3 linked regions of the Rattus norvegicus genome follow. The protein of the gene in region 3 interacts with the protein of the main gene of each other region in a pairwise test. Links are inferred from orthologs where the notes say so. Each region holds a gene or a part of one and is shown on either strand. Other genes may lie near its edges. The genes, in order: Trim63, Flnc and Myoz1.

The links.
Region 1: the proteins of Myoz1 (region 3) and Trim63 interact in a two-hybrid assay, tested with the Homo sapiens proteins (2 studies listed by BioGRID and IntAct). The link is inferred for Rattus norvegicus from reciprocal best matches to the Homo sapiens genes MYOZ1 and TRIM63.
Region 2: the proteins of Myoz1 (region 3) and Flnc interact in a two-hybrid assay, tested with the Homo sapiens proteins (2 studies listed by BioGRID and IntAct). The link is inferred for Rattus norvegicus from reciprocal best matches to the Homo sapiens genes MYOZ1 and FLNC.

The regions. Positions count from the first base shown.
Region 1 is NC_086023.1:151,816,039-151,827,044, forward strand, and holds the start of Trim63 (E3 ubiquitin-protein ligase TRIM63), read left to right. Parts: upstream 1-1,197; 5' UTR 1,198-1,287; coding exon 1,288-1,446; intron 1,447-2,452; coding exon 2,453-2,625; intron 2,626-6,130; coding exon 6,131-6,299; intron 6,300-7,188; coding exon 7,189-7,284; intron 7,285-8,554; coding exon 8,555-8,788; intron 8,789-10,551; coding exon 10,552-10,574; intron 10,575-10,879; coding exon 10,880-11,004; intron 11,005-11,006. UniProt on the Homo sapiens protein: E3 ubiquitin ligase. Mediates the ubiquitination and subsequent proteasomal degradation of CKM, GMEB1 and HIBADH.
Region 2 is NC_086022.1:59,015,824-59,026,829, reverse strand, and holds part of Flnc (filamin-C), read right to left. Parts: intron 10,683-11,006; coding exon 10,515-10,682; intron 10,435-10,514; coding exon 10,311-10,434; intron 9,873-10,310; coding exon 9,716-9,872; intron 9,636-9,715; coding exon 9,446-9,635; intron 9,275-9,445; coding exon 9,251-9,274; intron 9,140-9,250; coding exon 8,892-9,139; intron 8,366-8,891; coding exon 8,267-8,365; intron 7,965-8,266; coding exon 7,865-7,964; intron 7,550-7,864; coding exon 7,409-7,549; intron 7,139-7,408; coding exon 7,010-7,138; intron 6,922-7,009; coding exon 6,748-6,921; intron 6,158-6,747; coding exon 5,996-6,157; intron 5,919-5,995; coding exon 5,715-5,918; intron 5,265-5,714; coding exon 5,112-5,264; intron 5,020-5,111; coding exon 4,897-5,019; intron 4,763-4,896; coding exon 4,520-4,762; intron 4,316-4,519; coding exon 4,046-4,315; intron 3,952-4,045; coding exon 3,814-3,951; intron 3,622-3,813; coding exon 3,506-3,621; intron 2,378-3,505; coding exon 2,245-2,377; and 9 more.
Region 3 is NC_086033.1:3,691,632-3,701,496, reverse strand, and holds Myoz1 (myozenin-1), read right to left. Parts: upstream 7,885-9,865; 5' UTR 7,821-7,884; intron 6,769-7,820; exon of another isoform or gene 6,748-6,768; 5' UTR 6,730-6,747; coding exon 6,657-6,729; intron 5,092-6,656; coding exon 4,913-5,091; intron 2,714-4,912; coding exon 2,473-2,713; intron 2,089-2,472; coding exon 1,923-2,088; intron 1,167-1,922; coding exon 935-1,166; 3' UTR 666-934; downstream 1-665. UniProt on the Homo sapiens protein: Myozenins may serve as intracellular binding proteins involved in linking Z-disk proteins such as alpha-actinin, gamma-filamin, TCAP/telethonin, LDB3/ZASP and localizing calcineurin signaling to the sarcomere.

The sequences.
Region 1 (11,006 bases), on a different chromosome or scaffold from region 3:
AGCCAGGACCACACGAGCAACTCTGTCTCTTAAAACCTAAAAACCAAACCAAAACAAAAAACCCCATATTTTAATACCTGTTCTTTTGGGGTTTGTGGTGAGGGGTCGTGGTGGTGACTGGGGGTGTGTAGTGACATTATTTTGTTATTTTGTGATAGGGTCTCATATAGTCCAGGCTTGCTTTGAACTCCTGCCTCTGCCTTCTAAGTACTGGGGTTATTGGCATTTACCCATCATGCCCTGCTTTACCTTTTATTCCAAGACATGATATCACTATGTAGCTCATGGCCTTAAACTTTGGATCCTCCTGCCTCAGCCTCCTGAGGAGCTGGGAATATAGGCTGCAGATCACCCGCTCTTAGAACTCTGTTCACTCCTGTCTCCAGAGAACCCCATATTCCAATGCCCCGGAAGTTCTTCCTGGGACCCAAGAATGAACACATATGTAAAGAGTCCAGTGGAGCCTCCTGTATCCACAGGTGTCAGGGCAGGTTCTGAGGCAGCACAGGAAGTTCCTGTTTGTCTCTGGGCTGTGAGCATGGCAGTTCAGGGAAAACACAGGAACCTGGGAAGGCAAGTTGTCAGCCTTGGCGGCAAGCACCTTTACCCACTGAGCCATCGAGCTGGCCCTCATGAAACCCTTGTCAGCATGTAGTGTGATGATTGGCTGAGGGCTGTCAGGGTGGGCTGCCCAACATGGGAGTCTCAAAAGACTCTAGTGAAATGCTTGACTGGAGTCTGGGGCAGGAGAAAGCCCTTTCACAGAAGGGCTATCCCAAGGCCTTAGAGCTGTTCAGAATCCAGAAGGGGAACAGACTTAGGTTGGTACAGGGGCGCTGGCTGTTAATCTTGTGTATGCCAACCCCACCCCCCACCCAAGTTCCACTCCCTTACTCCCAATTCACTGGAGGGGCAGGAGGGTGGAGACCAACTTCTTCATGAAACTAGGGTACCTGGCCCTCCCCTGAACCTGGCTCTGAACAATCTGTTCTTGTTTACGACCCCCATTGCAGGGCAACAGCGATTGCTCACCCCTGCATGTGATCTGAGAGGGCCAAATCTTTGAGGCCTGGAGGAAACTCAAGCCCTGCCAGCCGCTTGGCTTCGGAATGCTCAGCTGGTCCCCTCCTGGGGCTCATGTGACTGAAGGGCAGCTATAAATATCAGAAGGGCCTCAGACCAAGACAGAAGCCGGGTGTTCGGGGAGGAAGACAAAGAGGATCCGAGTGGGATCCCTTCCACTCGGTGTGACGCAGGTGGAAGAGACAGTCGCAGTTTCGAAGCAATATGGATTATAAATCTGGCTTGATTCCGGACGGAAATGCTATGGAGAACCTGGAGAAGCAGCTCATCTGCCCCATCTGCCTTGAGATGTTTACCAAGCCTGTGGTCATCCTGCCCTGCCAGCACAACCTCTGCCGGAAGTGTGCCAACGACATCTTCCAGGTCAGCGCTAGGCAGGGCCGGGACCTGGAATCCCCCCCCACCCCGCGCCCCCCCCCAGACCTCCCGCGGCTTCTCAGAGGCCCTTCCCCTCTCAGCCTAGAACACTTGCTCCATTAAGAAGCCATTCAGAGACCCCTGGGAAGGACTAGGGCTGGAGGTAGAGAAGGGGCTAAGGGGAAAGGGGGAGCTACTCCAGTCCTTCCGCAGTGTACTCATCTAGTCCCCACCCTGGCCACAGCTCTCTCCTCTGCTGGGAGAGCTTGCTGTTGATTCCCCAGTCAAGAGTCAAATACCTCAAGTGATAAGAGGAGGAGGTGGGTAGAGAGGAGAGAGAAACCAGGCCCTGGGGCCGGAGCCAGCTCCAGGTGGCAGGGGGCCCAGACTTTGGGAGGCGGGTGGCAAGAGGAACGTAACCTCAGCAGCATCTCAGAGGCTGCGTCCTCCAACAGCGGGCGAAGGGGCCCCATCTTCTGAGGAGGGAAAGGGCACAGTTGAGGCAACGCACTGGGGAGAGCGTCCAGAAGGACGACAGGAAATGCTCTTCCAAACTCAGGTCTAGTTGCCTATTCCAATAATCTCACGTTCAGGAACCTGAGGCAGGAGGATTGCTAAGAGTTTAGGGTCAGTCTGTGCTACCTGATTAGTTTGAGATAACAAGATCCTGCCTTAAAAACAAAACAAAACAAAAAAATTTCCCTACAGTTATCTTTAAGGTAATATCCTAGGAGCTGGCTCTAATTCTAAGAAAGACCTGTGGTCTCCGTGGTAAACTGAGGCATAGCGAGATTATAGTTGCGCGTCTGAAGTCACACGACTTGAACTCATGTTGGCTGGTACTGAACCTCTTGCCTGTTTGAGTGCTTCAACCACGATGCTTCAGCACATGGTTGGGCTGGGCCAAGGCCAGGAGCCGGTGGGTGCCCTTTGGTTTGGCAAGTGTGTTTGGGGCAACTGGGGCAAGGAGAACTGAGACCGGAGAGGATGGGAACGCCCGCCTTTTCTGCAGGCTGCCAATCCCTACTGGACCAACCGCGGTGGCTCGGTGTCCATGTCTGGAGGTCGTTTCCGCTGCCCCTCGTGCCGCCATGAAGTGATCATGGACCGGCATGGGGTGTACGGTCTGCAGAGGAACCTGCTGGTGGAGAACATCATCGACATCTACAAGCAGGAATGCTCCAGGTCAGTGTGCAGCTGAAATGCCCCGCCTCCTGACCACGCCTCCTGACCGCGCCTCTCCCCAGACCCCTCCCACCTCAGCGAGCCACATTCATCAGCAGGCAGAGCCAACAACCTCTTCCTCAGACCAAACCTCAGCTCTTGAGTTTTGCGTATACGGGGAGCTAGAAAAAGAGTCCTGAGACTAGGGTGCAGGGGCGTGTGTGTGTGTGTGTGTGTGTGTGTGTGTGTTTGCGCTCATGGTAGAGATTGGACCTCATTAGGCTAGGGCTCTTCCACTGAACTACATCCCCAGAGCTTGCAGTTTTAAGATGGAGCCTTGACATATAGTGAAGGTTGGTATCAACTTGAGATCCTATTGTTTTTCAATCTCAGCTTTAAAATTTTATTTCTTTTATTTTGCTTACAAAGAAGGGTGTGTGTGTGTGTGTGTGTGTGTGTGTGTGTGTGTGTCTGTGAATACCAGAAGAGGGTACTGGCTCCCTGTATTAGTCAGGGTTCACTATAGAAAAATAACATATATTAATATATATGATCGATTGGAATGGCTTACAGGCTGTGTGTGGTCCAGCTAGTCCATAATGGCTATCTACCAACAGAAGGTCCAAAAATCCAGTGGCTGTGCAATCCACAAGGTTGGATGTCTCAGCTGGTCTTCATTATGTGCCAGAGTCCCCCAGAGAGTAGGCTCTAACGCCAGTGAAGGAACAGACTTGCTATTGAGAGCGAGAGCAGCAGGCCAATAGACAGCCCCCTTCCTCCATGTCCTCTCTATGGGCTGCCAGGACAAGGTGTGGCCCAGATTAGAAGTGGATCTAGATTAAAAGTGGGGCTTCCCACTTCAAATGATTTAATTAAGGAAAAACTCCCTGGCTAAGCAGTGGTGGTGTACACCTTTAATCCCAGCACTCAGGAGACAGAGGCAGATGGATCTCAGTGAATTTGAAGCCAGCCTGGTCTACAGAGCGAGTTCTAGGACAGCCAGGGCTACAAAGAGAAGAAACCCTGCCTCAACAAACAAACAAACCAACAAGCAAACCCAGCCACTTGGATTTTAGTTCATTACAGATGAATCAAGTGGACAAGATTCAGCTCTCCCAATCGCCCTGAAACCAGAACTGGGGTTACAGACAGCTACGAGCTGCCATGTGGGTGCTGGGAACCAAACCCAGGTCCTTTGCAGGAATAGTAAGTTCTCAACTGCTTTCCCCAGCCTTCACAGTGACTACCATATACCTCTTTGTTACATCGTGTCTCTTGTTGCTAGAACACAGCACTCCAAATGGACGTTGTTGAGCCCCAGGCACGGTGGCGTAGGCCCTGTGGTCCCAGCTACTAGGGAGTCTGAGGCAGGAGGATCTCAGTTTCAAGGTTCATCCAGGCTACATTGCAAATGCAGGGCTTGCCTGGACAACTCGGAAAGATGCTGATTCGTAGTCAAACCGTACTAATGAGAATGAGGGGCTGGGATGTAGATTGGTGATAGAACTCCTATCTGACACAAGGCTCTGTCCGGTCCCCAGTGTCTTCTGCATACCATGTGTGGAGGTCAGGGAGCAACTTTGTGGAATCAGTTCTCTCCTGCCTTTACATGAATTCCAGGGATTGAACTCAGGTCGTTAGCCTTGTGCTGCAAGCACCCCTCCCCCCTGAGCAATCTTGTCAGCCACAGATGCCTATTTTGGATTGTGGTGGTGGTGGTGGTGATGATGGTGGTGGTGGTGGTGGTGATGATGATGATGATGATGATAATGACGACGACGATGACGACGACGTAATTTATAGTATACTTACGTCAGCCTAATGCTGTCGAGTTTTGAAAATTATGCTGTGCCTTGGAGGTTTTTCCCTAATAAGGAAAGACAATAGCTGCCCTTAAGCAGGGTCTGCTCAGAGCTCCGCAGGCTACATCCCGGCATGGTTGGCACAGCTCTGAGAGACACTGAGGTGTGAAGGACTGAGATCACAGAAAACAAGTGAGTGTTTGACCCTGAGGCCTGGCCACAGAGAGGGAGGTGTTCTCAGGCAGCCTGCAGGCCCTCTCCACCCGGCTACACATCCTGTACCACATTCCCAGGGCATCACAACAGGTGGCAGTGGCACTAGGGAAATCCTCACCACTGTGGCCACAGTATGGGGCTCCTGGGCTCAAAGATTGAAAATAAAAACAAAAAGATCAAAACTGAGTGTTTGGAAAGTGACTCCCTGGAGGGGGCCCGGTAAGCCTGGATGTGACTAGTCATGCAGAGCTGTGGGGAGGTATGACAGGGACACCGATGGGGGGGATAGTCACTGTTGAAGATGGATTGGTGTAAGGGGCTGGGGGAGTGTAGAAATGGCAGCTTATCCAACTGAATGTAAGGTCTATCTAGCCTCAACTCTAAAACCCCAGCCTAGGCTGGGAAATCACTTATGTGGGAGAGGAGCATGCCAGGTGCCCTAGTTGAAGAAGCCATAAAGGGAGGAGACAGAAAGCAGAAGCTGTGTGGGGCTGGCTAGATGGTTCAGTGAGTACAGGTGCTTGCAGCCAAGCCTGATACCAGAGTTCTCTCCCCTGGACAAACATGGTAAAAGGAGAGAACCAACTCCTTCAAGCTGTTTTCTGACCTCCATGAATGTGGTATGGCACACATTGCCTCCCCCTCCAAATACACATATACTAAATAAATGGCATTTTTTTTTCCTTTTCTTTTTTTTCGGGGCTGGGGACCGAACCCAGGGCCTTGCGCTTGCTAGGCAAGTGCTCTACCACTGAGCTAAATCCCCAACCCCATAAATGCCATTTTTAATATTAAAAAAGAAGAGATTCGGGGCCTTGGAGAGCCTTTGTATAGCGGAGGTTTGCTCTGGGCTTCTATGTAGCCTTGCCTTTGCCCTCCGACCAAGTGCGCATGTATGGCTTAGGGTGCAGAGACTGCCCCCTTCTAGGACACCCTCAGGATGTGTTTACTGATGTATTTCATTTCCACGGTCTCCACACAAGGTACTGTATGTTATAGACTCAGGCAAGGAAAACAAGTAGGCTTCCTGCCTAGCTTGAGGGTACAGTCTCATGGGTTAAATATAGATGTGAAAGCTGACATCAGAATAAATTGCCCAGGCCCCAGCAACCAAATCTGTGGGGGCTAAAATTAGAGCAGGAGAGTTCTGGTCTCTTCTGTCTGTGCTGCTGGGCCACCTTGGGCAAGTCCATTTATTTCCCAAGACTGTTGTGTCTCCCATATGGTTAGCACCTTCTGGTCTACCTGGGATTCTGGGGCCCTCCCCATACCCTCTGCACCAACTCAGGCCAGGTCCAATGCTGGGGGCCTGAGTTTTAGGGCTAGGAACAGGTTTGTTGGATATCATTAGCTTCTTTGACCTTGGGCTCCCAGAAGTTAAAAAGGAGACTGCTTGGGGCAGCTCGATCCACTGGGAGCTCGCATATGGATGGGTAGCTTCCTGTGCTTGAAGCTAGGACAGGACAGGGAGATGGGACACCCTGACCTGTGATTCTTCTCCACCTCAGTCGGCCCCTGCAGAAAGGCAGCCACCCGATGTGCAAGGAACACGAAGACGAGAAAATCAACATCTACTGTCTCACGTGCGAGGTGCCTACTTGCTCCTTGTGCAAGGTGTTCGGGGCTCACCAGGCCTGTGAAGTTGCCCCCTTACAAAGCATCTTCCAAGGACAGAAGGTACTGGCTACAGCTGCTGTGCCCAGAGGATTCTGGGGTGTGGATTTGACCCTTGTGGATGTGCTGAGCCGGCCTTTCAGGAATAGTCTCTCAGGAGGGACTTCCCAGGTCACAGGGACAGCAGCCGATGCCTCCCTGGGGGAGGTGACTGAGCTCATGGGTTATACTTAGAGTCACTTGAGAGCCCCTGGGTGTGGCCATGGGGAAGAGGCCATGGCTTCCCTGTCCTGTCCACTCTGTAGTCCCAGACCTCTCCACCTGAGCCTCATATGAAGCATAAGGCAGATTTGAGGCTCTTCCCTGGGCCCTGGCAACCCAGCATCCTGCCACGGAGTAAGCTGTAGCCCTACTGTCTGCCACACTTCACTCGTCTCTTTCTTCTAGAACTTTCCAATCTATTCCTTCTCTCCGAAAGTAGCAGGCTGGGGATGGTAGCACAGGCCTTTAAGCCTAGCACTCAGGAGGCAGAGGCAGGATCGCTATGAATTTGAGGCCAGCCTGGTCTATATTGAGTTCTGGGCCAGCCAGGGCAGCACAGTAAGGCCCCTGTCTTTAAAAAAAACTGGGGTGGGGGCAAGAAAGAAAGAACGAAAGAAAAGGAAGGAAGGAAGGAAGGGAGGGAAACTTGTTTTCTTTTGTTTCTTTATCAGTGCTTTGCTGTGTGTTTTGGGTTGCTCAGTTTCCCTCTCTGGGCCTCATCTGTCCATAAAGGATACATCTGTGGTAGTCTCTGCTTTAGACCTGAGCTGCACCTCAGAAGGAGGGATAGCAACCCTATTGGTGACTCTGTCAAAGACAGGGGCATGAACACCATGTTGCTATAATTCTGGAGAAGCAGCGGGCCCTGAGTCTATTTCTGTCTCTCCTCTCTCACGCCCCTGCCGTCCAGACTGAACTGAGCAATTGCATCTCCATGCTGGTGGCAGGGAACGACCGAGTTCAGACTATCATCTCGCAGCTGGAGGACTCCTGCCGAGTGACCAAGGTGAGGGTGTAGAGCTGCCCTGTCAGCGGTGAGGAGTTCAAGCCTCCGGTGCAGCCTGTCTCCGGGAAAGCCCTGAGCTATGGTGCAGATTGGGGTTTGGAGTCTTGGGTACCCAACAGAGATGGCAGGAAAGGACACAGTCATTTCTCCATCACCCTTGGCGAACACAGCAGCTGTGTCAGACCCTGTAGAAGGACAAGACAGACCCAGTTGGTCCCTGACTGCAGAGATTCACCAATAACTCCCTGAATTGTTCCAGCATTAATCATTTATCGATAGAGCAAGAGTCCTGACCTGTAAAAGCTCACACCTGACTCAGGACTGTGGAACCTCAGGGGCTCTGGAACAATTCAACATTCTGCACTTCTTCCTTGCTTGAATTTTATTTTCCATGTTTACTGGTGTTTTGCCTGCACATATCTGTGCCTCATGTGTGTGCAGTGCCAGAGGAGGCCAGAAGAGGGAGCCAGATCCCCTGGAAATGGAGTTCCAAGATGGTTGTGAGCCAACACAAAGGTGCTAGGAACTGAATCAGGGTCTTCTGGAAGAGCAGGCAGTGCTCTTAACCACCAAGCCATCTCTCCGGTCTTCTTTCTGTCTTTCTGCCTTTGATTTGATGTTTGTTTGTTTTTCTGGACAGCGTTTCTCTGTGTAACCCTGGTTGTTCTGGAACTCACTCTGTAGTTTGAACTCAGAGCTCCAGGCCAGCCAGGGTTATAGAATTAGACCCTGTCTCGAAAGAAAGAAAGAAAGAAAGAAAGAAAGAAAGAAAGAAAGAAAGAAAGAAAGAAAGAAAGAAAGAAAGAAAGAAAAGAACAGACAGAGGGAGGGACGGAGGGAGGGAGGGAAGAAAAAGAAAAGAACAGAACAGACAGAGGGAGGGACGGAGGGAGGGAGGGAGGGAAGAAAAAGAAAAGAAAGGAAAAAAACCTGGTCCCTTCTTGAGGAGGGTTGGAGCTGGTAAGTTGGGGAAGAGCCATCCATCATCACCACAAGTGGACTGCTCTGTGGAGTGGAGAGGACCATTGTAACCCTGAGAGGTATCTCATGCCGAAAGGCACCACTGCCAAGCCCATTCGACTTTTTAAGACCAGGTCTCACTAGGTTGCACCAATTCAGCCTTCTGTGGGTGCGGGCATTTTCCTCTTCGATAGCTTTGCTCCGTGTGCGATCGAGTCTTGCCTTGCTGCAGAGAGTCCCTGGGGCCCTTTCTGACTCAGAAAGTGGGTTGGCACTTCATGGGATGTGACTGTAGGATTTCTGTCCTCAGGAAAACAGCCACCAGGTGAAGGAGGAACTGAGCCACAAGTTTGACGCCCTCTACGCCATCCTGGACGAGAAGAAGAGTGAGCTGCTGCAGCGGATCACTCAGGAGCAGGAGGAGAAGCTGGACTTCATCGAGGCCCTGATCCTCCAGTACCGAGAGCAGTTGGAAAAGTCGACCAAGCTTGTGGAAACAGCCATCCAGTCCCTGGATGAGCCCGGAGGGGCCACCTTCCTCTTGGTGACTGGAATCTGAAGGGTTTGGGTAGATTTGAACTATTACTCTTTCCTGATCTTCAAATGGGCCTGGGCTGTTTAAATCTTGGTGAAATGTCAGGCATCTCCGGTCACTACAGGCTCCTGACCATAAATAATCCCAGTTCTTGGGCAGCTGAGACAGGAGGACTCCAAGTTCAGGGGAAAGCAGGACAGTTTGGTGGAATAGTATCTCAAAATAAAACATGCCAGGCTAGGCTTGGTGACACACGACTTTGCTATCCCAGTACTTGGAAGACACAGGCAGAGGCAAGAGGATCTCTGTGAGTTTGAGGCTAGCCTGGTCTATAGAGCAAGCTCCAGGCAGCCAAGACTGCATGGTGAGACCTTGTCAATAAATAAACAAAAAAAACAAACATAAGAAATATTGGGAGAGGAGAGATGATTCTACGGCTAAGAACATGTCTTATGTCGAACACTTTTAATCCCAGCACTGGGGAGACAGAGGCAGGCAGATCTCTGTGACTTTGAGGCCAGCCTGGTCTACAGAGTAAATTCCAGGACAACCAGAGCTACATAATATCGAGAACTTGTCTCAAAACAAAACAAAGAAAAATAACACTTTGGTTTTGTTCTTACAAAGGACCTGGGTCCAGTTCCCAGCACCCACATTGTGGCTTACAACTACCCATAGCTCCAGTGCCAGGGTACCCAATGCCCATTTCTCACTTCCAAGGGCACCAGGCACATATGTGGTTCACATACACACACGCAGGCACTCATACATACACTTGAAACAAAAATAGGTCTTTTAAACAATATCAGCAAAACCCAGAGGGGCTGGAGAGATGGCTCAGGGGTCAAGAGTGCTTACTATTCTTTCAAAGAACTTGAGTTAGGTTCCCAGAACTCACGTCTGGCAGCTCACAAATACCCATAATCCCAAGAGCAGTGGAACTTGACACCCTCTTCTGGCCTCCAGGGGCTGCAACATACATACATATACATACATATACATACATACATACATACATACATACATACATACACACATACACACATACATACACACATATATACATATATACACATACATACACATACATACATACACATACATGCATACACATACATACATACATGCATTACATACATATGCACACATACATATACATACATATATACATACACACATACATACATTACATACACATACATACATGTATATACACACATATATACATAGATACACACATACATATATTACATAAGTACATACATGCATACAAAGACAATTTTAATGTGAGTACACTGTAGCTATCTTCAGACACACCAGAAGAGGGCATTAGATCCCATTAGAGATGGTTGTGAGCCACCATGTGGTTGCTGGGATTTGAACTCAGGACCTCTAGAAGAGCAGTCAGTGCTCTTAATCACTGAGCCATCTCTCCAGCCCCCAAGAAAAATTTAAAAACATATTAAAAAAACTACAATACCCAGAATATATGCCTTCAAGCTCTTATGGTCTAGCTTTGTCCAACCCATGGAAGAAAGTTTGGTTGACTCTCGTCCAGGAGACTTCAGACATTTTGAGTGCTTGGTCAGAGAACCCTGGCTTCCTGCCCAGACAGTAGAAACAGACTGGGGTTCATGTTGGCCAAGATCTGTGAGAAAATGTCCGAGTTCTATTTAACAGGGCAGGATTCAAGTTACGCCTGTACCATGGAATGGTACCTCGAGTCTATCCTTTGGAATTTCGATGTTAACCTCTGTTCTTTTTCTCCACAGAGTGCCAAGCCGCTCATCAAGAGGTCAGTGTTCCCAGGACTACAGCCTGTGTCCCTAGTTCCCCTCAGGGCTTCTGACACCTGCCCAATGGATCCCTGTGCATTAGTTCTGCCAGGATCGGGGGGGATCGGGACTCACCCCAGACCATGTGCCCTACTCTGTTAGATCATCCACTCTGCTTGACCCTAAAGAAGAAATGTCCTCTGCCCCTTCATCCCCTCACTTCAGGGATGGATTGTGGGACTGGGACGGACCCACATAGAGCCAAGGCTAAGCTGTCCCTTCCTGTATGCAGCCCGAGACCTCACCCTATCTCTCTCCCCCACAGCATTGTAGAAGCTTCCAAGGGCTGCCAGCTGGGGAAGACAGAACAAGGCTTTGAGAACATGGACTACTTTACTCTGAATTTAGAACACATAGCAGAGGCCTTGAGGGCCATTGACTTTGGGACAGGT
Region 2 (11,006 bases), on a different chromosome or scaffold from region 3:
AACCCCTTATATCACAGTCTCGGCCCCCAGCTTCACCAAGTCTTCCCTCAGGACACCTTTGAGGGACACTGAAACAAAACAGATAAAGGCCCGGCCCCCCACCCACCAAGTGGCACAGTGGGGTACGGGGGATTGTATCACCCCGTCACACCTAAGGCAGGTGTTTTAGTGTCTGATTCTGTGAGTGTGGATAGGGGGGTGGCACATCTGTGTGGGTATGACTTTGGCAGGAAGTGGGGGCCTGGGCTGAGGGAGGCGCTTCTGAGATTCAGGGCACATTGACCTTGAAGGGGCTTCCAGGGACACTTTCATCACCCCACTTGACAATGAGGATGTAGTCTCCTTTCTCCTTGACAGTGTAGGTGACATTGTAGACCCGGTTCCCCATGTGCTTCACATATACCTCTTCGCAGGGGGTCTTGGGCCCGTGCACACCCACCATCATCATGTTGGTACCTGGAGAGGGAGGCAGAGAGGAGTGACTCACACCAGGGCCACAAGCAGCCCACACCCCTGGCCCTGGACACCTTCCTGCTTCTTCCCCCCTCCCCCCAGACGAGCCTCTGGGATGGAACATGCCTGCTTTGCTGCAGTCCACGGTGAAGGAGTTCTTCTGACCCACAAAGGCCTGGGACAGGCCGGGGCCCCTTGTCACCACCTTGCTGGCATCTGAGGAGAACTTGGGGATGGAACTGTAGCTGGCGCCGCGGCTCGAGGAGGACTTTGTCACAGTCTCCACCAGAACTGTGGATGTTTCGTGAAGGCTGTGGCCTCCAGACAACCGGGGACCTGAAGGGTAGAGTAGGTGGCCATGGGCCTAGTCAGAGGACTTCCTGCTCTTTTCTAGGACACTGACAGTCCTCTGAGATGGGCACTGGGCAACATTGTGTGTGCTAGGCTCCCTGCTGTCCTCAGCTGCAGTTTTTGAAGAACACTACCTGTCCCCTACAGGCAGCATCTGACCAGCTCCAATCCCTGCTTACCCCTGGGTCATAGCCACTTCTGGTTCTGCCTCTCACCCTTCCAGGCTTCCTCTTGGAAGTCAAGTTAACTGACAGGGTGAGAGTATGACTTTAAAACGGAAGAAAATGGGGATATAGCTCAGTGGTAGAGCACCTCCCTAGCATGAATAAGGCTCTGGGTTCAAACCCCAGTACTGGAAAAAAAAAGATTTTCTTTTCTTTTTTGGTTTTCAAGACAGGGTTTCTCTGTGTAGTCCAGGCTGTCCTGGAACTCACTCTGTGGGGCAGGCTGGTCTCAAACTCACAGATCCACCTGCCTTTGCTCTCCAGTGCTGAGATAAAAGGCAAGCGCTTGGCAATGTATTTTTAAAGATTCATAGAATCTTTACAGAATGGGCCACGGCCTAGCCACGCCCACCTCCATCATGGCAGCCAACCACGCCCATGTCCATCATGGCAGTCAGCCACGCCCACATCCATCATGGCAGCCGGCCACGCCCACCTCTGCCTCTAGTAGTAACTAGGACCATAACTGAAAGCAGACTACAATCAAATGGGAATGGCCACCGGAGCCAGCCATGCTGCGCTGGACTATGTGGACCTTCTTCAGCCAGGGCACTCACCTGTGACCTTTGCTTTGAAGGGACTGCCCACAATGTGCTGAGGGCCGCCATACTTGATGGCAATGAGGTAGTTGCCAGGAGCCATGGGCGTGTAAGTGACTACATGGCCCTCAGGACACTCCCGACAGTCCAGCTGCACCTTGGAAGGCCCATCGATGGTGACAGACAAGGCCCCCGAGCCTGCATTCTGGGTGTTAACAATGAACTCTGACGATACACCTGGAGGACAGAGGGAGCGAGCTGAAGATAAGGAAGAACGCAGCCCAGGGTAGGGCCCTGGGTTCCTTGGGAAACACCAGGTTAGTACCAACAAGTTCCCAACCTACCAAGGCGTGCCTGATCCCCCCAAATCCAACCCTGCTCCCCTCGGTTCAGATGCTCACCCGTAGTGCCTCCTTCAAGCCCAGGCCCATAAGCTGACACCAAGCCTGGGTCCCCAGCTTGGCTCTGCTCCCCAACGCGGATCTTGAAGGGGCTTCCAGGGATGTGGGCACCGTTGAACTTGACATCAATTGAGTGGACACCGTTCTCATGGGGGATGAAGCGGATGGTATGCTTATCTGTGAAGCAGAAGGTTGGTGAGTGAGCCTCCATGTTTCTTCACCCCTTTGCCAGAGATCCAGGTCTGACAGGAGATGGCAGAGACAGGGCCAGCTTACCACTGTCCAGTTCAGAGACATAGCACTCCTCCACAGCTCCTGAGGGTGTGTGTACCCGGGCATCGATCACGCCACGTGCCCCATTAAGCTGCACCGCGAAAGATGCTGGCTGGTTCACCTTAAGCCCTGTCTCCTGCAAAGACCACAGAGCACAGTCAGAGTCCTGGGAAGCTGAGGCTAGACCAGTCCTCTCTGCAGCTCAATGCTGCTCTTACTGTAGAGCCAGTCCAATGCTCCCACCTCTCCAGCCCGGTCGCTGCCTGCCAGCCCAGATTGCAGGGAAGGGCCGAGATGGCAACGGCTGCTCTGCCATTCTCTGCATCCGCCTGTAGGCACCCTCCTAGCCATGCTGGGTACCACAGTGGGTGAGGAGTGGTGTACCCCTGCCTCAGCTGAGGAAGCAGAGGCCAGACACCGAGGAGTGCAGGCCTAGTAGAGCTTGACAGCGCTGTGTGGGCTGCAGGCCCAGACGAGCTTGGATGTGGCAGGCTGAGTGTAGATTGCCCCAAGAAGGGAGTGACCAAGGGGGAGCACTGGAGAGAGCACCAGAAGGGCTCGGGGGTATGAGGATGGAAGCCTGGGCTAGAGTGGAGGGCTCGCTGTTGGCTGATAGGACTGCACTGAGGGTCAGCTAAAAGAATGGGGCGAGGGGCTGGAGAGATGGCTCAGTGGTTAAGGGCACTGACTGCTCTTCCAGAGGTCCTGAGTTCAAATCCCAGCAACCACACGATGGTTCACAACCATCTGTAATGGGATCCGATGCCCTCTTCTGGTGTGTCTGAAGACAGTGACAGTGTACTCATATATAATAAATAAATCTAAAACAATGAATGTGGGGGTAGCGTTCTCTGTCCTCTCCTCATGCTCTTTGACAGTGTTTCCAGTTGCCAGCGTGGCCTGCTGAAAGCCTGCATGGTGTACATCCCCACATGGCAGAAGGAGAGGGGACCTTTCTAGATGTCACACCAGGAAGAAGTACAGCCCAGTGCAGCGGTAGGAGGGGTATAGCCCAGTCTACATGTGCTTGCTCTGGCGTCCTCTGCAAACTCGCTGACGTTTATTTGGTGTTGATTTCATGTGCTTATTCACTGGGATTCACTGAGATGTGGACATGCTCCCCGAAAGGGCCCTGACCCACACTGCATGTAGTGGGAGAAGGGACTGCAGCCAACTCATCCACCAAGCTGTCACTGGCCATGTGGGCCTGCCCTCCTAGACCCCTGCCTATCTCCCAGGCCAAGTTCCCAACCGTGGCACAGACCTGGAGGCTGGTGACGGTGAGGCGGCGAGCATCATCTGAGAGGGAGGCCACAGGCACCACAAAGGGGCTGTCTGGGATGTGCTCATCATTGAACTTGATGGAGACCTCATAGTCACCTGGGGAAGGAAGCTAGTCAGCACCCTTTCCATGATAAGGGCGGAAGGAACCCCCAGCCCAGCCTCAGGGCTCAGCTCTGAGTGGGTGAAGGAACTTGGGGTGCAAAGGGAGTAGTAACTGGTGGGGGGGAGTCCCAAAGCCCATTGGTCAGCAAGTAGAAACCCTCTCCCCACTCAAGTGTAAGCATTTACCTGGCTCCTGGACAACATAGGAGACACCACAAGAACCATCTTTGCGGTCTTCGAATGCGATCTCTGCCTTGCTGGGACCTTCCACAGCAATGGACAGGCCCCCAGCTCCAGCTTCTCGGGTCCAGATGCTAAACTCAGCTGGACGGCAATAGGGTAGGGGTGGCGTCTTAGTGCTGTTGCCCCTCACATTGGCTGCCCTGGCCCCCAGCTCCCCCTGGCTTCAGCCCCTTACCTGGCACACCAGCTACACCTCGCTCCAGCCCTGTGCCTCCAGCCCGCACCTTGTGGGCACCACCTTCACCTAGCGGACCCACGGTGAACTGAAAAGGGCTTCCAGGCACATGTTGGCCCCGGTACTTGACAGCGACTGTGTGGGGGCCCATCTCCTGGGGCACAAAGCGCACACTGTATGCGCTGTCTTCTCCCTCAACGATCTCTGCGGCTTCTGTCTTGCCAGATGGACTGGTCACCTGGGCTGTCATGTCCTGAGAGCTGGCCTCACCTGAGGGGTTGGAGTGATGTCAGGCCAACAAGAGGCTGTATCTGTTCTCCGTGGTCTCCTCCCTCCTCGGTGAACCCCATTCTCTGCTCAGACCTGTCCTGGCCATCTAGGCCAAGGTGGCCAGGGATGAGGCCATTCTATCTCACAGAACAGGAGGCCCCAGCCTCCCTATGAGGGCCCGGATTCCCAGTGCTCTCTGCTTACCTTCCTGCTGTCGGGTGATGCTTCCAAAGGAGCCCAGGCGTTCCCGGCCGAGAAAATCGCCGAAAACAGCAGGGAAAGGGTCTCCGCCGACCTGGGTGGACTCCTCCACCCGGACTTCACGCTTGGTCTCCCCACCCCGAGTCTTGCTGATCTCTGTCCGCTCCGTGCGGGTGTACGTGTGACTGCTACGCGTGAAGGTGCGAGTCAGGCGCTCCTGGGCGGACACCATCTGAAACCAGTTTCCTATAGAAAGCCCCGTGGTGGGAGTGAGGAGGGAGGCAGCAGGACAGAGGCCCCAGGGTAGGCTCAAGGCGGCAAGGGCATCCCATGGCCACCCCTGCTCCACCCTGGCTCCTCTCTGCCTTTGCAGCATCTACCTGGGATCTTGAGGTTGAGGTCACAGGTGCTACCAATGGTGGCGATGGAAGGCGCCTGTCTGCGCCGGGTGATGCTCTCCTTCATGCGTCCCTCGCCAGTCACCTTCACGGTGAAGGGACTTCCTGTGAGTGAGAGAGAAAAAAGACTCAGGTTCACAGGTCACCTGCCTGGTCACCGGATTTGTCCCCTACTGAGTCCCCGCCCAGAGCCTCACCAGGCACGTGTTTGTCAGCAAACTTAATGTTGATGATGTAGGTGCCAGGTTCAGTTGGACAGTAGGTGACTTTGCAGGTACCGTCTTCCATATCCTCACAGTTAATGTCCACCTTGCTAGGACCTTCGATGCTCAGCCCCAGGCCTCCGTAGCCTAAGGGATGTGAGAAAGATGTCTCCCCTGAGCCCATGATACCTGCACCCACACTGCTCTCCTGTCCCGTGCAGAAGGCTCTGCCTAGGACAGACGTCAAATGAGTGTAGGGACCGCTAAGGAAAATGGCACCATGAGATGTGGAGAGGTGATCCAGTGTTTGTCATCAAGGCTTACTAAAGAGGCCTTCGGGAAAATTCCATACCTTGGACCTCTTGGATTCTAGTGAGTGGAGACTAACAAGCTCAGGACAGCTGAGCTTTCTCTCAGCTGTGACAGAGCTGACTGACGGGGGACATTCGCTTCCCCCCAGTGGGCTCTAGACTGAATCCCAACAGATCCAAGAAGCTCAGGGCAGGAGGGTGTGGCCAGAGGGGGAGGTTATGGGCAGGAAAGGGACAAGAATTTGTGGAGTGCTAATGATATGGGGGGTTCTGTGTCAAGAAGTACCTGCATTGCGAGTGTCCACAATGAACTCTGCCACTTGGAAGGTCTGTCCCTCGGAAAGGCCCTTGCCCCAGACTCGAACTTTGCTGGCATCGCCGATCTCCGAAGGCCCAACCAAAATCTTAAAGGGGCTGTTGGTGACGTGCTTGCCACTCTTGCGTACGCTCACCACATGCTCACCGACCTCCTTGGGGGTAAAGGAGATCCCTGTGGAGAGGGGACAGTAAGCAGAACATCCCCGAGGCCTCCCTGACCCAGGTACACCCAGGAGGCACTGCACTCACCAATGTGCCTGTTGGGCAAGCGCTTCAGCAGGCAAGGCTCCTCATTGCCTGAAGGAGCACGGATACTGGCTGTCAGCTGGCTGAGGTCACCCTCTGTGATCTTCAGTGACACATCGGTGGAGGTGCCCACATTAAGCTGGGACGTTCTCATTGAGTCGTCACCTGGGATACAGTTGGGACAGATCAGGATGTCGGCTCCAGACAGACTCTAGCATCCCTGGTCTGCATTCACCTTAACTACTAACAGCCTCAGAGGGACCCAGCATCCCTGTGCACTGTGCCTGTCTCAGTCCTGGGGAGGCTAAGTCTGTCCTTGAACCTTTATGTATTTGGTCCTGAGTCACATGGACCAGATGCTCTCTCTATGGCTCTGATCACAGTGCTAATTTGTCTCTGGGTTTTCTCAAAACAGTGTCAATATTTCAAGAGTAACTTGAAAACTGAAATAATAAAATATTTTTTCTTTTTTGTTGTTTGTTTGTTGTTTTTGGTATTTGGAGACATGGTCTTTCTATGTAGGCTTGGCTGACCTAGAGCTCTCTGTGTAGACTAGGCTGGCCTTGAGCTGACATAGATGATCACGTTTTTCAAAGCATGGACTGGTGGGATGTTCCTTGCCTGTTGTGGAGAACAGCATCCTTACATTTACTCCAGATGTTCTCCTCCCCTCAGCAGCCTCTGTCCAAATGTCCTGGGTGAGCTGACTTGAGTGTGTGTGGGGCAGGGTGCCCATGCCTGAATGTCCGTCTCACCTGTGATCTTGGCCGTGAAGGGGCTCCCTGGGATATGCTTGTCGTCAAAGCGCACAATGATGCTGTAGTCTCCAGGTGCTGTGGGTAGGTAGGACACGGTACAGGTGCCATCTTTGTTGTCCTTGCAGGTGATCTCCGCCTTGGATGGGCCCTCCACAGCCAGTGACAGCCCCCCTGTAAGCGAAAGTGGCTGAGATCAGAATCTATCCCTGTGCCTACAAACCTGGCAAGTCCCCTCACCTCTTTCGGCAGTTCTCCTCACCTTCCCCAGCGTCTTTGGTGACAATTGTGAAGGTGGCAGGCTTGTTGACCATGCCATGGCTCAGACCTGGCCCATAGGCACTGACATGCCCGCTGTTGATGGCATCCACATAGAACTGCAGAGGGCTCCCTGGGTAGTGACAGGTGGAGCTGGATTAGCATAGGGACAGGGGCTTCCCACAGCCATGTTGGCCCCCAGCATCTTCAACAGCTTTGGATTTTGGAGCCCCGTGCCTCTGCTACATGGACTTAGAAGCCCATTACCATCAAGAAACACATTTCCCAGAACCTTCTTTGGTGCCTGTACATGGCAGTGCTTACATATGTATTTAAAGGAGGCTGGCAGGACCAACATGGTGTTGGCTCCTCTTACCGTGGTCTCACCCTGCTCCCAACTCACCAGGGATATGGTTGCCATCGTACTTGATTCCCATCTGGTGCAGGCCTTTCTCTGTAGGTGCGTATCTCACTGTGATGGTACCGTCCTTGTTGTCAGTGATGTTGGGACGTGCTGTTTTACCAGAGGGCATCCGGACCTCCCCTGAAAGGCAGACATACTTACATGTAGGTAGGACACTAGTTTCTCCCAACACATGTCCCTGATGTCCCAGGGCCTGTTCTCAAGTGGCTCTGCTTTCCCCAGAGGCCAGACACTGGGAAGCAGCCCATTCAGGAATAGAAGGACTAGGAGACAGAAGGCTTGAACTTGAGTTCTCATTCTGCCCAACTTGTGAGACGCAACCTAATTTGTTTCCCCTCTCTGGGCCCTAGGTCTCATCCCTGCAATGATCTTAGCTGAAAGGCCAGGAAGCGTTCTCAGTTCTCAACAGAGTCTCACGTGTGGTGCACCCATTACCTGTCAGCTCCCCTTTCTGCACAGTGAATGGGATGACCAAGTTGAAAGGCCTCAGCATGGACTCCAAAGGCTCCACAGGAACCACGGGCTCCTCTGTGGCCTGTAGCAGGTGAGAGGAAAGAGAAGGCTGTAGTCGGTGGAGAACGCCGGGGAGTGTGGCCTGCCTCAAGACTGAAGTCAGAGAGAACGAAGAAAGAACAAGGTTAATAGTGAGACACCAATGGCAGAAGATGCGTCAGCTGCAGGAGAAGGGGTGCCATACTCAGATTTGGGCTCCCTCTGCCCATCCTAATGCCTGCATTCCCCAAGAGGCCCAACCATGGCCCAAGCCTGCAGAACAGAAGGAAGAATGAAGAAAGTAGGGAGAAGGATGACGAGGCCTGTCGTGGGAAGCTCTAGTACCCAGTGTGTGGGGCAGGTGCCAGGCCGAAGTGGGGCATATGGCTGGTGCAGCTGCAGCACTTCCGCAGGCTCCTCCACATGAGGCAGCGGGTCACATGCCTGGGGAATAAGGCACAGGGTGTACAATGTGGGGGGACCTAGATCTCAGAACCAACTCTCAGAATGGCCTAGGACTCAAGTCCTGGGTGGGTATCTCAGGTGTTCTATCCTTGTCCTGCAGGGCCACCCCTGTAGAAACAAGAGCTAAGGACAGTGGCCCAAAGGTCAGAAAAGAACACAGTGAGCTCCTTCAGAGAGGGATGATACCTCTCTGGTCAAAAGCAGAGCTGCACCACCTCCCTGCACATTGGAAGGCTACAGGAAATACAAAGGCTCATTCTAGAGTACTCTGGCTCCAGGATCTGTTTATCAGACATGGGGACAAGTTCTCTGACTCCTTGAGGACAGCTCCTAGGATCCCTTGCAGCTACTGAGAGGCATATTCTGAGTCCTTGAGGACAGCTCCTAGGATCCCTTGCAGCGACTAAGAGGTATATTCTCTGATTCCTTGAGGACAGCTCCTAGGATCCCTTGCAGCTACTAAGAGGCATATTCTGCATAACATGCACCATGGCCATGAGCTTACCAGCACATGGAAGGGGCTGTTGGGAATGTGTTCACCCCCAAAGCGGATGGTGATGACATATTTGCCCGGCTCAGGTGCTGTGTAGTAGATATCAAAGGTACCATCGTGGTTCTCAACTACATCCACATCGAGCTCTGCCCCGTCAGGTGTGGATACTGTGCAGGTCACCTTCCCCTTGCCTGCTGCCTTGGCATCCACTGTAATCACAGTCTCCTCTCCAATCTGGATTCTGGGACCCAGGCAGGCACCTACCACATGAAAAAGCCAGATCAGGGGCTGTGGAGGCCATGTCCAGCTCCCCCTTTCCCGGCTGCTCCCACAGCCTCCAGCCCTTAGTAAAGAAAGAAAAAGTTACTCACCCAGTCCATGGCCTCCAATGGATACTGGAAATAGAGAAGAAAGTTAGGTCATTAAGGTTCAAGATGACCTAGAGGTGGTGGGAGCTGGGCTGGGCAAAGAGTATAGACTTTTTGCCAGCATGGCCCCAGGACTGGGCTGGGAGACTGAATGCACTCTAAGGGGCTGACGAGAAGGGACTCAGAGTTGGTACTCACCTGTAACAAGGCACTTGCTGGCATCCCCTGTAGGCAGGGCGTGGATACGGAAGGGTGAGTAAGGGATCTCATCGCCGCCATACTTGATGGTGATGGTGTACCGACCACTCATGTCTGGCAGGTAGGACACGGTGTATGTGCCATCCCCATTGTCTCGGATGTTGGCCTTCTTGGGTTTACCCTCGGGATCCTAGAGGAGAAGGAGAGGTCAGGCCTACCTATGTCCACAGAGGGCATATATGCTGGGCAGGGGGCTGTGCCTAGACTTACCAGGATCTGGACTGTGAGAAGCCCCTCACCAGCATCACGAGCATCAATGGTGAACTCCACGGGCAGGCTGGCGGGGATGCCGGAGGCATTGAGGCCAGGGCCACTGGCCCGCACTTTGCTGGCATCGTGGGCCGGAAGCACTTTGATCTTGAAAGGGCTTGAGAAACAGAAGGAGCGGACAGTTGTCAGGGAGTTGGAGCTTGAGATATGTGAGCCTTCCCACATGGGCAGAAGGAGTGACTCTGCAGGGCAGCCCTGAAGGCCTGCTTCCCAGGACATCTTGAATCTTGGAGAAGGGTCACTGAAGGACCCATGGAACATAGATAGTGTTTTCTCCAAAGGAAGATGCTGTTAATTGTTTAAAGAGTCTGCACACTTTCTGTGGCTCTTTTCCTTGATGCTTATCTGGTGCTGAAGCTAGTGGGGTGATATTACCTTCTGGGTAGGGAACCTTGGAGTGGGGTAGGATGGGGTAGTCCCTGAAGGAGGTTTAGACAAATAAGGGGGGGGGGGACTCTGCCCAAGTCCTGGCCTTGAAGGTTAGGCCCTAGGAGAAGCTCTAGCTCAGCATGGATTGGTCAAGGCTGGCCCTCACCTGCGTGGCACCTCCTGGTCAGCATACTTGACAGCTACTGTATAGGGTCCGTCAGTGGCAGGCGTGTAGTGGACAGTGTGGGTACCGTCGCCATTGTCACGCACCTCCACAGGCTCAGCCACACCTGGGCAGAGGCAGAGGAGTGTCAACAGGGCCTCCTGGAACCTCCCCTCCCTCCCCTCTTTCACTCCAGACATTCCATACCTGTGGGTCCCAGCACTGCCACCTGTAGAGGGGCCCGGCCAGCTTGACTGCAGTCCACTGTGAAGGTCTGAGGTACCCGAGCCCTGACGCCAGTCCCTAGCCCTGGCCCTGAACACTTCACCTTCCCAGGGTCCACAACATCCTTCACAGGAACTCGGAATGGGCTTCCTGGGAGAGTGAGAACAGAGATGGTGGAGGTCAGCCTCTCCCCACTCCCTGGCACAGTTTGTCTTCCCGCACTGAGGATCTGTGGAGCAGGCAACCTCCCTGCTGCTGAGAGGCCCACTGAGACAGAGCAACATGAGAAGCAGTTTGGAACTTGCTGAGAAATAAAAAAAGAGAGTAAGCGAATTTGACTGCAGAACGAGGCAGGGCAAACCTCACCTTCTTAGACTCAGCCTGGGAAGAAAGCCCTCCTAAATCTTTAAAATGTTAACAATGGAATTAAAAAAAAAAACCAGCTTATGTCTTTTGACATTGTAGCTGAAATAT
Region 3 (9,865 bases):
ATCTCTCCAGCCCCATATAGGTTTTTATATTCCCAAGCTTACTCTGGTTTCTGGTAACTTTAGAGTTACTTATTTTTATCGTATGTATATGAGTGTTTTGTCTGCATGCATGTGTGTGCACTACATGCCGTCCCTGATGCCCTAGGAAGCATAGTAACATATCCCCTGGGACTGGGATTACAAATGACATCCAGACTGGTCCTTTTGAAGATCAGTAAAAACTTAAACCACTGAGATGTATCGTTAGCCCCACCAGTAACTGTGAAAAATCAAAGGAACCTTCACTTTCTTAAAACTCATTTTTCCTTTCTCGGTGTTTCCCAGCTTTTAATTGGCTACACAAAGATAACTCTGGTACTAAGTGTTACCTGCAGTTACCAACACTTACTTCCTAATCAGTGTGCATTAGCTTCTTAGCTTTATACATACAGGGGCCAGCATGTGGGCTTACACACAAGATTTTATCTCATGTAATATCAAATGATACTCTTTGTTTATACCTGATGAGTGTGTTTTTGTGGGTGTCAATGCAGGTGTGGATGTGTAAGAACCAAAGCCCATATATGGTCCTAAAGTCTGAGTGAAGTGTCAGTCTTTTGCTTTAGTTAACCTTTGTGCATCATCAGCCTCAGTTCTCATCTGCCTTCAAATACCAGAGGAAGAGTGAGTTCATTTCCTTAGAGTTTATTGACTGTTACCAGTGGCAGAGAAAATTCCATAAAAGAGCAGATTCCATATGGAACAGCAGGATGGGAGCTCTTAGCTGGTCAGGAGGGGTGCTCTGGAGTGGGAACTTGAAGGGTGGAAAGGCTCCCACCCTCTACCCTCCATTGCCACAAGGATACTGGAGTAACAGTTGGGGCATCCTGTCCAGCGTCCCCTCTCAAATTGGAACCAGAAAGGGGAAATGATGCATACGACAGGAGGAGACACTTCACAGCTCCTCTGTCTCTCCATCCAAGGGTATGCCGATATCCACGCTGTAGTCTACATGCTCCCCAGAGCTCAACCAGGGAATAGGGGTTCGATTGAAAGAAGGCCTGTTGGAGAGGTTCTGGTTGTAGAGGACCAAGGGTTCACTCAGCAGAGGCCCCAGGTCAAACTTGGGCATCTGGAAGGTCATTCGTTTGGAGGCCTTCTCATATCCACCATAGGGCATTGCCGTCCTGAAAGGGGAACATGTCATATAGTTAAGAATCAGAATAAAAGAGAAAGCACTTGTCAATGAGCTATCACCCTGCTTTAAGGGAGGAGAGTCCATAAATCATAGTTAGACATTGCTTCCTTGCTTCCAGTCCTCGTCCTCCCTTAACACCCACTTACCTGGCTTGCTGTCTATCTGAAGTTAACAATGAGATGAGTCTAGTAGACTACATGATCTCATGGACAGTTGGGACAAACACCAGCATTTTGGCCACTATAGAGCCAACAGTATGAGACCATCTTAAATTGCAATGTATATTGTAACCTACAACTGCAACTCTACCCCCATCTCAAATGGAGAGTGGCTGGAAACACTTCTGTAGACCTTCCTCGACCTGCCTCACACAGACGTCCTAGCCATGGCCTCAATGCCCATTTCTAAACAATAGAAACATGGAGCATGGGATAAAGAAAGAATCATCCTGTAGGGAGAGTAAAGACATTGTCACCTTGCATGGGAGGGAGCCAGGACACACCTCCAACCACAAAGTGTGGGATCCCCATTTTACCTTCGAAAAACCCAAGCCGAAAAAAATGAGTGCCAAACTAACATAGAGATCTTCCCTTCACTCCACCGCTATGAGAGGCAGGGGATCCTCCATGAGGGTCCCCTATTCCTGTCCTTACACCTTAGCCCCCTCTGAAACATCTGAACTTAAACCAGGTAGAGCAAGGTGTCACACAACGGGACACGTCAGCTTCCTCCCCCGCTATCCTACCTGTTAAAGGACTTATACTTGGGGAGTTCAGCTTTGGCGCCATATGCCAGCAGGTCAATGCCAAGTTCCACTTTTTGCTGAGGGTCGACCCCCATGGCCCGATCCCACGGGGAAATATATGTCTTGAACACAGTGACGTGTTTCCCATCTCCACCTGCCTGGTCACCTGGTAGCCATGGAAGGGAAACATACATCAGATGATAGCAGCCACTATCAGTGGCTAATGAAAGCTAGTCCCATACCCTACCACTAGGGGAGCGGCTGAGTCGAGGGTCAGAGGTACAATATCCTGGGAATTATATATGGTTTGTAACATAATGGAGTCTGGGGTGAGATTTGTGACTGAATCTGAGAAACCAGAAAAAAAGAAAAGAAAAGAAACTAAACGATAAGGCTGTGGGTGGAGCAAACACATTGCTGTATCCTGGATACCTTCTGGGTCCAAGACACCTCAGTCTCCCTCTTTCCACATCTCAACTAGGCCTCATTCCTGGGGACATGTCTGCCCTGGGCATCAGATACAGTACTTCTGGTTGGTGAGAATACTTGCCTGATCCTGGCTCTCCAACCCCTACTGTGCCGGGAGCTGCTCCTCCGCCAGCCTGGCCCCCAGGACCACCTGCACCCCCAGCTCCAAACCCAGAGCCCTGCTGATGGCGGTCAGAGCCATACTGTCCAGCAGAGCCACTGGCCCCAGCCTGGCCTCCGCTGCTGCCCTTGCCATAGGAGAAGCCCTGACCAGCTGACTCCAGCTGTCCTCCCACTGTGGGAAGAAACTTCTGGAAGTGATCCTGAAAAGAAAGTACAAAACAAGAGGAAGATTAGCAATGGGTGTGGAAAACGCAGACAGAGGCACATGTACAGGAGCAGGCAACAGAGCTAAGGGGCAGCCACAAGACCCCAAGGCTCTGAGAAATCCTCGCTAATGAACGCATAGAGAAGAGTGTCAGCCCGAGGGAACTGCTTTCTGGGAGAGGTGCAATTCCCTGATTACACCTCAGAGTAAGGCAGCTCATTCTCCACTCCCTATCCTATCTTGGCAAGGCAAAGCAAACCAAGATACCTGCTCAACAAGAAACTGCCACAGTTCAGTTCGCCCTGCAGGGAGGCCTCCTTTGCCTGCTCCTCTCCTCCTCTTGATGGCCCATCAGGCCAGAACTTTCTTACAGTGAAACTGTAGCAGGTGAAGCGGGGGAGGAGAGCCAAAAGGGCAATACTGGTTTGGGCTCCAAAGCCTAAAAATAACTCCACCAACTCCTTGAGGAGGCCCTCCTGGCCACCTTACCCTGTGTCCCACACCCTCTACCCAGTGTAACCAGACCCAGCACAGAGGAGGGCTTTTGGCCTCCTAAAGTTAGCTGTGACCCACTCAGCACTTTTACTCTGATCCTGCAGAAGGGCTCATGACAGACACTCCTGCTGGGCCGCGTCCACGTCTGCATCCATTTCCACTGTCCCCCCAGCCACCCAGAGAAGGTGGAGGAGGAAGAGAGGAAATGGAGCCAGTCCCGCGCTCCTCTGTGGTAACATCCTGTGCCTGGCCTCTCTCCAACCCCCTTACTCTTCTTGTCTTGGAGGAGATGACCTTAAAGAAGGAAGATTTTAGTTTCCTGTCATCTTTCAAAATGGAGATAGTTATAAAACTTCCGTAAACTCTTCTAACATCCGAAGATGTACCAAGTAAAATTATAATCACCCAAGTTTAATGTTCAGGTATATAACATTTTTAGTGTAAAATATGCCTTAAATATTTAGTGGGATGTGTTTACATTGAGAAATTATTTGTAATGTCCCGTGTAGGGGAAAGCCAGGGCAGGGAAATGAGAAGGAGTGGATGGGTAGGTGGGGGACACTCTCATGGAGGTAGGGGAAGGGAGAAGGGATAGGGGGACTCCAGAGGGGAAATCGGGAAAGGGAATAACATTTGAAATGTAAGTAAAGAAAATAGCCAATAAAAAAAAAGCCAAAAAAATAAAACTTTAATAAGAAAAGAAAAAAAAAAGGAAATTATTTGTAGTTGATGGCACACACCTTTAATCCCAGCACTCAGAAGGAAGGGGCAGGTGAATCTCTGTGAGTTCAAAGCCAGCCTGGTCTACAAAGGGAGTTCCAGGACAGCCAGGTCTACACAGAGAAATCCTGTCTCCAAAAACCAAAAACCAAAACCAAAAGAAAAATGTGTATTTAAATTTAAAATATAGCACACCATTAACCCTGGAAATCAGGAGACCGAGGCAGGCAGAGCTCTGTGAGTTTGAGACCAGCCTGGTCTACATAGTTCTAGGCTAGCCAGATTTACATGGTACTATTCTAAAAACAACAACAAAACCCTAATTTTTATTATTCAAATCTTATATTGTTTTTAAATCCAAAAGGTTACATGTTACAGGCAATATATTTAACAACCATTCATTTAAAAAACTTTTCTCAAACTCACAAGCCTCCTCAAGCTACACAGCTCATTGTATATATCTGGAGGTCAAATTTAACTGGGTACCCCCTTTGGACCTTTGCTTGCTTACTGTTTGATTTTGGGGGGAAATGAAACCTAGGGTCCCATGCATCTGCCACTCAGCGATACAGTCAGCCCCAAGATTCTGTAGGTTTTAATTATTTTATGTCCCCAGTAATACAAAGAACACATTTTTAATACAAAGTTACTAATTGTGTATCTTAGTGTCAAAATACAGGACTGGGTGTCCCATGTTTTATCTGGCAACCTTATTTTAACACGTAGCCACACTGGGAAGGAATTTTCTCCCTATGGGTGTGGTCCTCATGCCTGCACTGGCTCTAGGATGGGGACTAAGCTTCAGGAATTAATTCTAACTCACCCTCGAGTCATTGGGAACTGAATATATGGAGGATCTTAATGAGTTTCTCATTTCTCCTGGAGACAAGGTTGGTGGTATCTGGGGAAATTGGGGGCAACCGAGAAGCTGCCAGGAAAGACACTGGGCTTTGAGAGAGTGGTTGATGTCCATACTCACCATTGAGCTGTCAGAGAAAACATCGGGGTGGTTTTCATAGATAAATTTCTCCACCCGCATCTGCCGCAGCTTGAACATCTTGGAGCCTCGGTTGGTAAGGAGCGACAACTCCTCCAACATCACATCCCTCGGGACACTGATCTTCTTGCCCAGGTTCAGGCCCGAACTCTCCCGACCGCCTTATCCAGGAGGTAGAGAAGAGGAGACAGAAAGAAGAAATGAAGGCTTTCTGGACTGGGAAGGGAAGCGCCACCCACCCACAGCTAAGTGTATTCTAAAAGAGATTAATTCGGGCACAGGGCTGTCTGGCTTACAAGTTTTTGTTTGTCTTGTGTGTCTTTTAAAAGATTTTTCAGAGATCTAGTTATGTTTAATATGTATGAGTGTTTTCTTTGCATGTATGTATGTGCACCATGTGCATGTCTGGTACTCACAGAAGTGAGAGGAGCACTCAGATCCCCTGGACCTAGAGTTACAGATGGTTGTGAGCCACCGTGTGGGTGCTAGGAACTGAATCTGGGTCGTCTGCAAGAGCAGCAAGTGATGTTAACCACGGAGTAATCTCACCATCGTGTGCGTGCGTGCGTGCGTGCGTGCGTGCGTGCGTGCGTGCGTGTGTGTGTGTGTATGTGTGTTTGAGACAAGGTCTCACTTTGTAGCACTGACTATTGGTATTCTGTCTAAGCTCCACCCCCACAGTTGCCTGGCAACAGCCAGCTGTGTTTGACACTATATAAGGGGCTGCTTGCCCCCCTCCTCCTTCTCTTTGCTCTTCTCTTCTCTGCTCTCTTTTCCTCTTCCCCTTTGTTCCTTCTCTCCCCATTCCCCTCCCCTCTTCCCTCCTGGTGCTCATGGCCGGCCTTTACTTCTCCCCTCTTCTACTCTTCTCTCATTAAACCTCTCCATGTGGAACCATGTTGATTTGGTCTACCCCAACACGGACTGGCCTAGAACTCACAAAGATTTCCTCGCCCTCGCCCCCGCCCCGCCCCCATCTCCTGAGTGCTAGGCATGCACCACCCTACACAGCCCATGAGAAGTGCTTTTGTTTTAATTTCATAAGAAGTTTTGATTTCATGGTTTAGAGTGAGAACTCAAGGGGACAAAGGGAACCATATATAGTGTTTGAATACTCGAGTGGAGAAAGAACACGGCCAAGGGGCATGGGCTTGGAGTGAAGGAGAACAAGTGAAGAGAACACCACAGACAGTGGCCATTGGAGGAATTACACCGGCCAGGGAAAGCCCATCTCTAAACGCAGATCCTTGTCCTCTCCTTTCTCTCTTTATTCAGTGAACTCTGACTCCTGAGGTATCAGGAGAACTTCACACTTGGTAACTCGTGTGCATCCCCAGGGAGTAGGGCTGTGCAGTTTCCTATTTTAAATGCTTACATAAGTTCCCTCGAACTTAGAAAGGAAAGAGGAGTTAACCATTCAGTGAGGCCTAGCCTGTGCCTCCCACAGGTTCACTGACCATGGGTCCTGTCCTGAATCTCAGCCCGGTGTTGTCTCCGAGTAATCAGTGGGAAGGCCTGGAGGCCACAGAGGGAATTCTGGTTCTTCCTGTCTCTTCCTCCTTGCTCTTCTTACCTCTCCCATCACCCCATCTCCCACACCCTCCACAGCTGCCATTCTTCTTGTCTTTTTCACTCTGACTTATAACCGGTCTTACATCATTTCTGCAGCTCTTGATTCAGGGATGCTCTTAAAAATCCTACATTTGGGCGCTCAAGCACGCCCTACCTCCAGTGAGCTCCATAATCAGTTTGCTTGACTTCCTCCTCTTGTTAGGGGCCGGGGTTCCCGAGAGCGGCATGGTGGAGGGGGATTTGACCTGGAAGGAGCAGGAAGCAGGCTTGAAAAAAGACAGGAAAGGGGAAAACAAGCATGTTCACTACAGTGAACTACTTAACTTGGGGTCGAGGACAAATTTTCTTCAGAGTTTTTCCCATGTGTTCATGTTTGCATGCGTGCATGTGTTTTCACAGTGATCTGTATCCCCAGAAGGTAAACGGCCAAGACTTCTGTTTTCTTTGGAAGCAGGACAGGAGGCGGAACTGCACCCCTTTCCTTACGTCTTACCGACCGGCTATGTTCGCTTTCCATAACTCCTGTATGGGCATCGGAAACACAGCTATGGCCGAAGGGGGTTCAAATACAACACTGGCAAAGCAATGCACTCAGGCTTCTTGGGCCTGGCATGATTTAAAGTCCTTGTTTGTGTTGGGATAGCAGGCTACAACTATGGCTCCAGACTCTGGTCTCCTGCTCAGGCTTCCATCAAGGTCTAAGGGGGTAGAGAAATGTTCTGCTAGTATTGAGGAGACTCAGCCAAACCCTTCTCCATAGGAAGGAGAAGCTGTTCTTCCAGGAAGCCAACTGGAACATGGCCCGAGAGGTCATGGGTGTGTTCCTTGCTTCTTCAGGCAACTCCTACCCCAAGCTGCAGAGCTGGGCCTGAGAGCAAGCTGAGGGCGTTTGAGCTGGGACAGATGTCAGCTCAGCAATATCATGCATGGGGGTAGAGAATTGTAGGAGGACAGAAACACAGGAATGAGATCTGGCTGTGGGTGGGGACAAGGTAGAAAAAGACACACAGTCCAGTCTCTCCCTAACAGTCCTGCTGTTTTCTGTGGTGTTCTGTCACACAAACACAACGACACTCTACCAACCTAGTGGCATCTCAAACTACCCCTCCCCATCTGTCAGGTACCTCCCCACACATCTTAATTCCTCCCAACTCCTCAGGTCCCTTTCTTTCCAACTCTGCAGCTCCAACTGGACCACCAGCAGCTGAGCAGAGATGAGAAGAGAGACCACTCCCTGAGGACGAAGAATCACGATTGCAAACATGGAGGTCACAAAAGTGGGCTCCAGCCCCTTCCTGTGGTAGAACCACAGACTTACCAGCCTCTCAGTTGGTGGTCAGCTCTCCCTGGGGTCCAGCAGCTTTGGATGACTGAGCTGCTGTGACTGGAGAACCTGAGCTGGGCAAGCGTAGGGGCAGCCCTGGCAGTGGGGGAGGGAGGGAGGGAGGGGGGTGGTTATTAATAGAGTCGATGAGCACAAGCAGCTCAAATGGCACAAACGGGGGCACTGAGACCCTGAGCCGGGATCCTGCCCTCCTTGCCTGAGGTTCAGGAAGAGGGAAGGCCTATGAAAATTCCCAGCAGACCGTCTGACCAGGGTTCAGTCAGCCGAAGCGGTGTGCTTCTTCCCCTTTGCCTTGAGATCCAAAGAAGCATCTCAGGAGGCAATGGACAGCAGAGGCAGAAAGAAAGGGAGCAGACAGTTAGTGCTGGGTAAGAATTAAGAGTAGGTATAGGGAAAAACAAAAAACGAAACAGAAAACATGATTTGTGGGCCACTCAGGCCATTCCAGACCGGGGCTGGAGGGACCCATGAGTGTATTCAGAGCTGGGAGGGATTGAGGCCCTACACTGAAGATAAGATGGAAATTTTCACAGCGGCATTGCTTCTAAACTTCCCGAATAGGTCGACTTTCTGTCTGAGAGCGTTAGATCTTGACCTGGTGAGGGGCCACCTTAGTCAACCCCAGTGCAGATGATGTGATGGAAGCCTATTAACCCCACTCCTTGTCTTTCCTCTCAGTACAGCTGTTCTCAACATGCGGGGCCTGACCTTCTAGGGCTGGACAACCCTTTCACAGGGTCAGATATCAGATATTTACATTACAATTCATAACAGTAGCAAAATAAGTTAGGAGGTAGCAACAAAATAATTTTATGGGGCTGGAGAGATGGCTCAGTGGGTTAAGAGCACTTACTGCTCTTCCAGAGGTTCTGAGTTCAATTCCCAGCAAGGACATGGTGGCTCACAACCATCTGTAATGGGGTCTGATACCCTCTTCTGGTGTGTCTCAAAACAGCTACAGTGGGCTGGAGAGATGGCTCAGCGGTTAAGAGCACTGTGTGGTCTTCCAAAGGTCCTGAGTTCAAATCCCAGTAACCACATGGTGGCTCACAACCATCTATAATGAGATCTGGTGCCCTCTTCTGGTATTCTTAATCAAATAAATAAATAAATCTTAAAAAAAAACCCAGCTACAGTGTACTTATATAAATTAAATAATTATAAAAAGAATTTTTAACTATGCCAGGCATGGTGGTGCATACCTTTAATCCCAACACTTGAGAGGTAGAGACAGTGGATCCCTGAGTTCCAGGCTAGCCTGCTGCTGTACAGAGTCAGTTCCAAGACAGCCAGGGCTACACAGACAAACCTTGTCTTGCAAAACAAAACAAGGCCTGGTGTGGTGGCACATGCCTTTAATCTCAGCACTTGGGAAGCAGAGGCAAGTGGATCTCTGAGAGTTGGAGGCCAGCCAGGTCTACAAAGTGAGTTCCAGGATAGTCAGGGCTAAGAAACCCTGTCTCCTCCTCCTCCTCCTCCCCCTCCCCCCATCATTGTCATCATCACCACCACCATCATCATCATCACAATTTTATGGTTCTGGGTCACCACAACATGAGGTACTGAATTAAAGGGTCACAGCATTAGTAGCTTAAGTAATACCCCTGAAACTAGCTTGCTTCTGTACCTTTTGCCCTAAGACAGCTGCCTAAGGAATTGGCTTTTTTGGGGTGGGGATGAGTGTTAATTTAGTAAACATGTGAAATATGTTTCTTGAGCCCAGCATAGTGATGTGTGCCTTTAATCTCAGCACTCCAAAAGCAGAGCTAGGTGGATCTCTTAAGTCTCAGGCTATACAGAAAAGCCATGTCTCGTTATGACATTATGTCATTGACATTTTTACACGTGTCACTGTATCATTCACATTCACACCATACGACCCTCCGTTGATCCCATTCTTCGTAAGAAGCAGCTTTTGAAGCTTATCCTTCCCGACCACGCCCTTCTTCTGTCCTATTCCTGCCTTGTTTAAACCAGGGGCCGAAAGTCCTCCCTACACACACAGAAGGTGGTGCTGC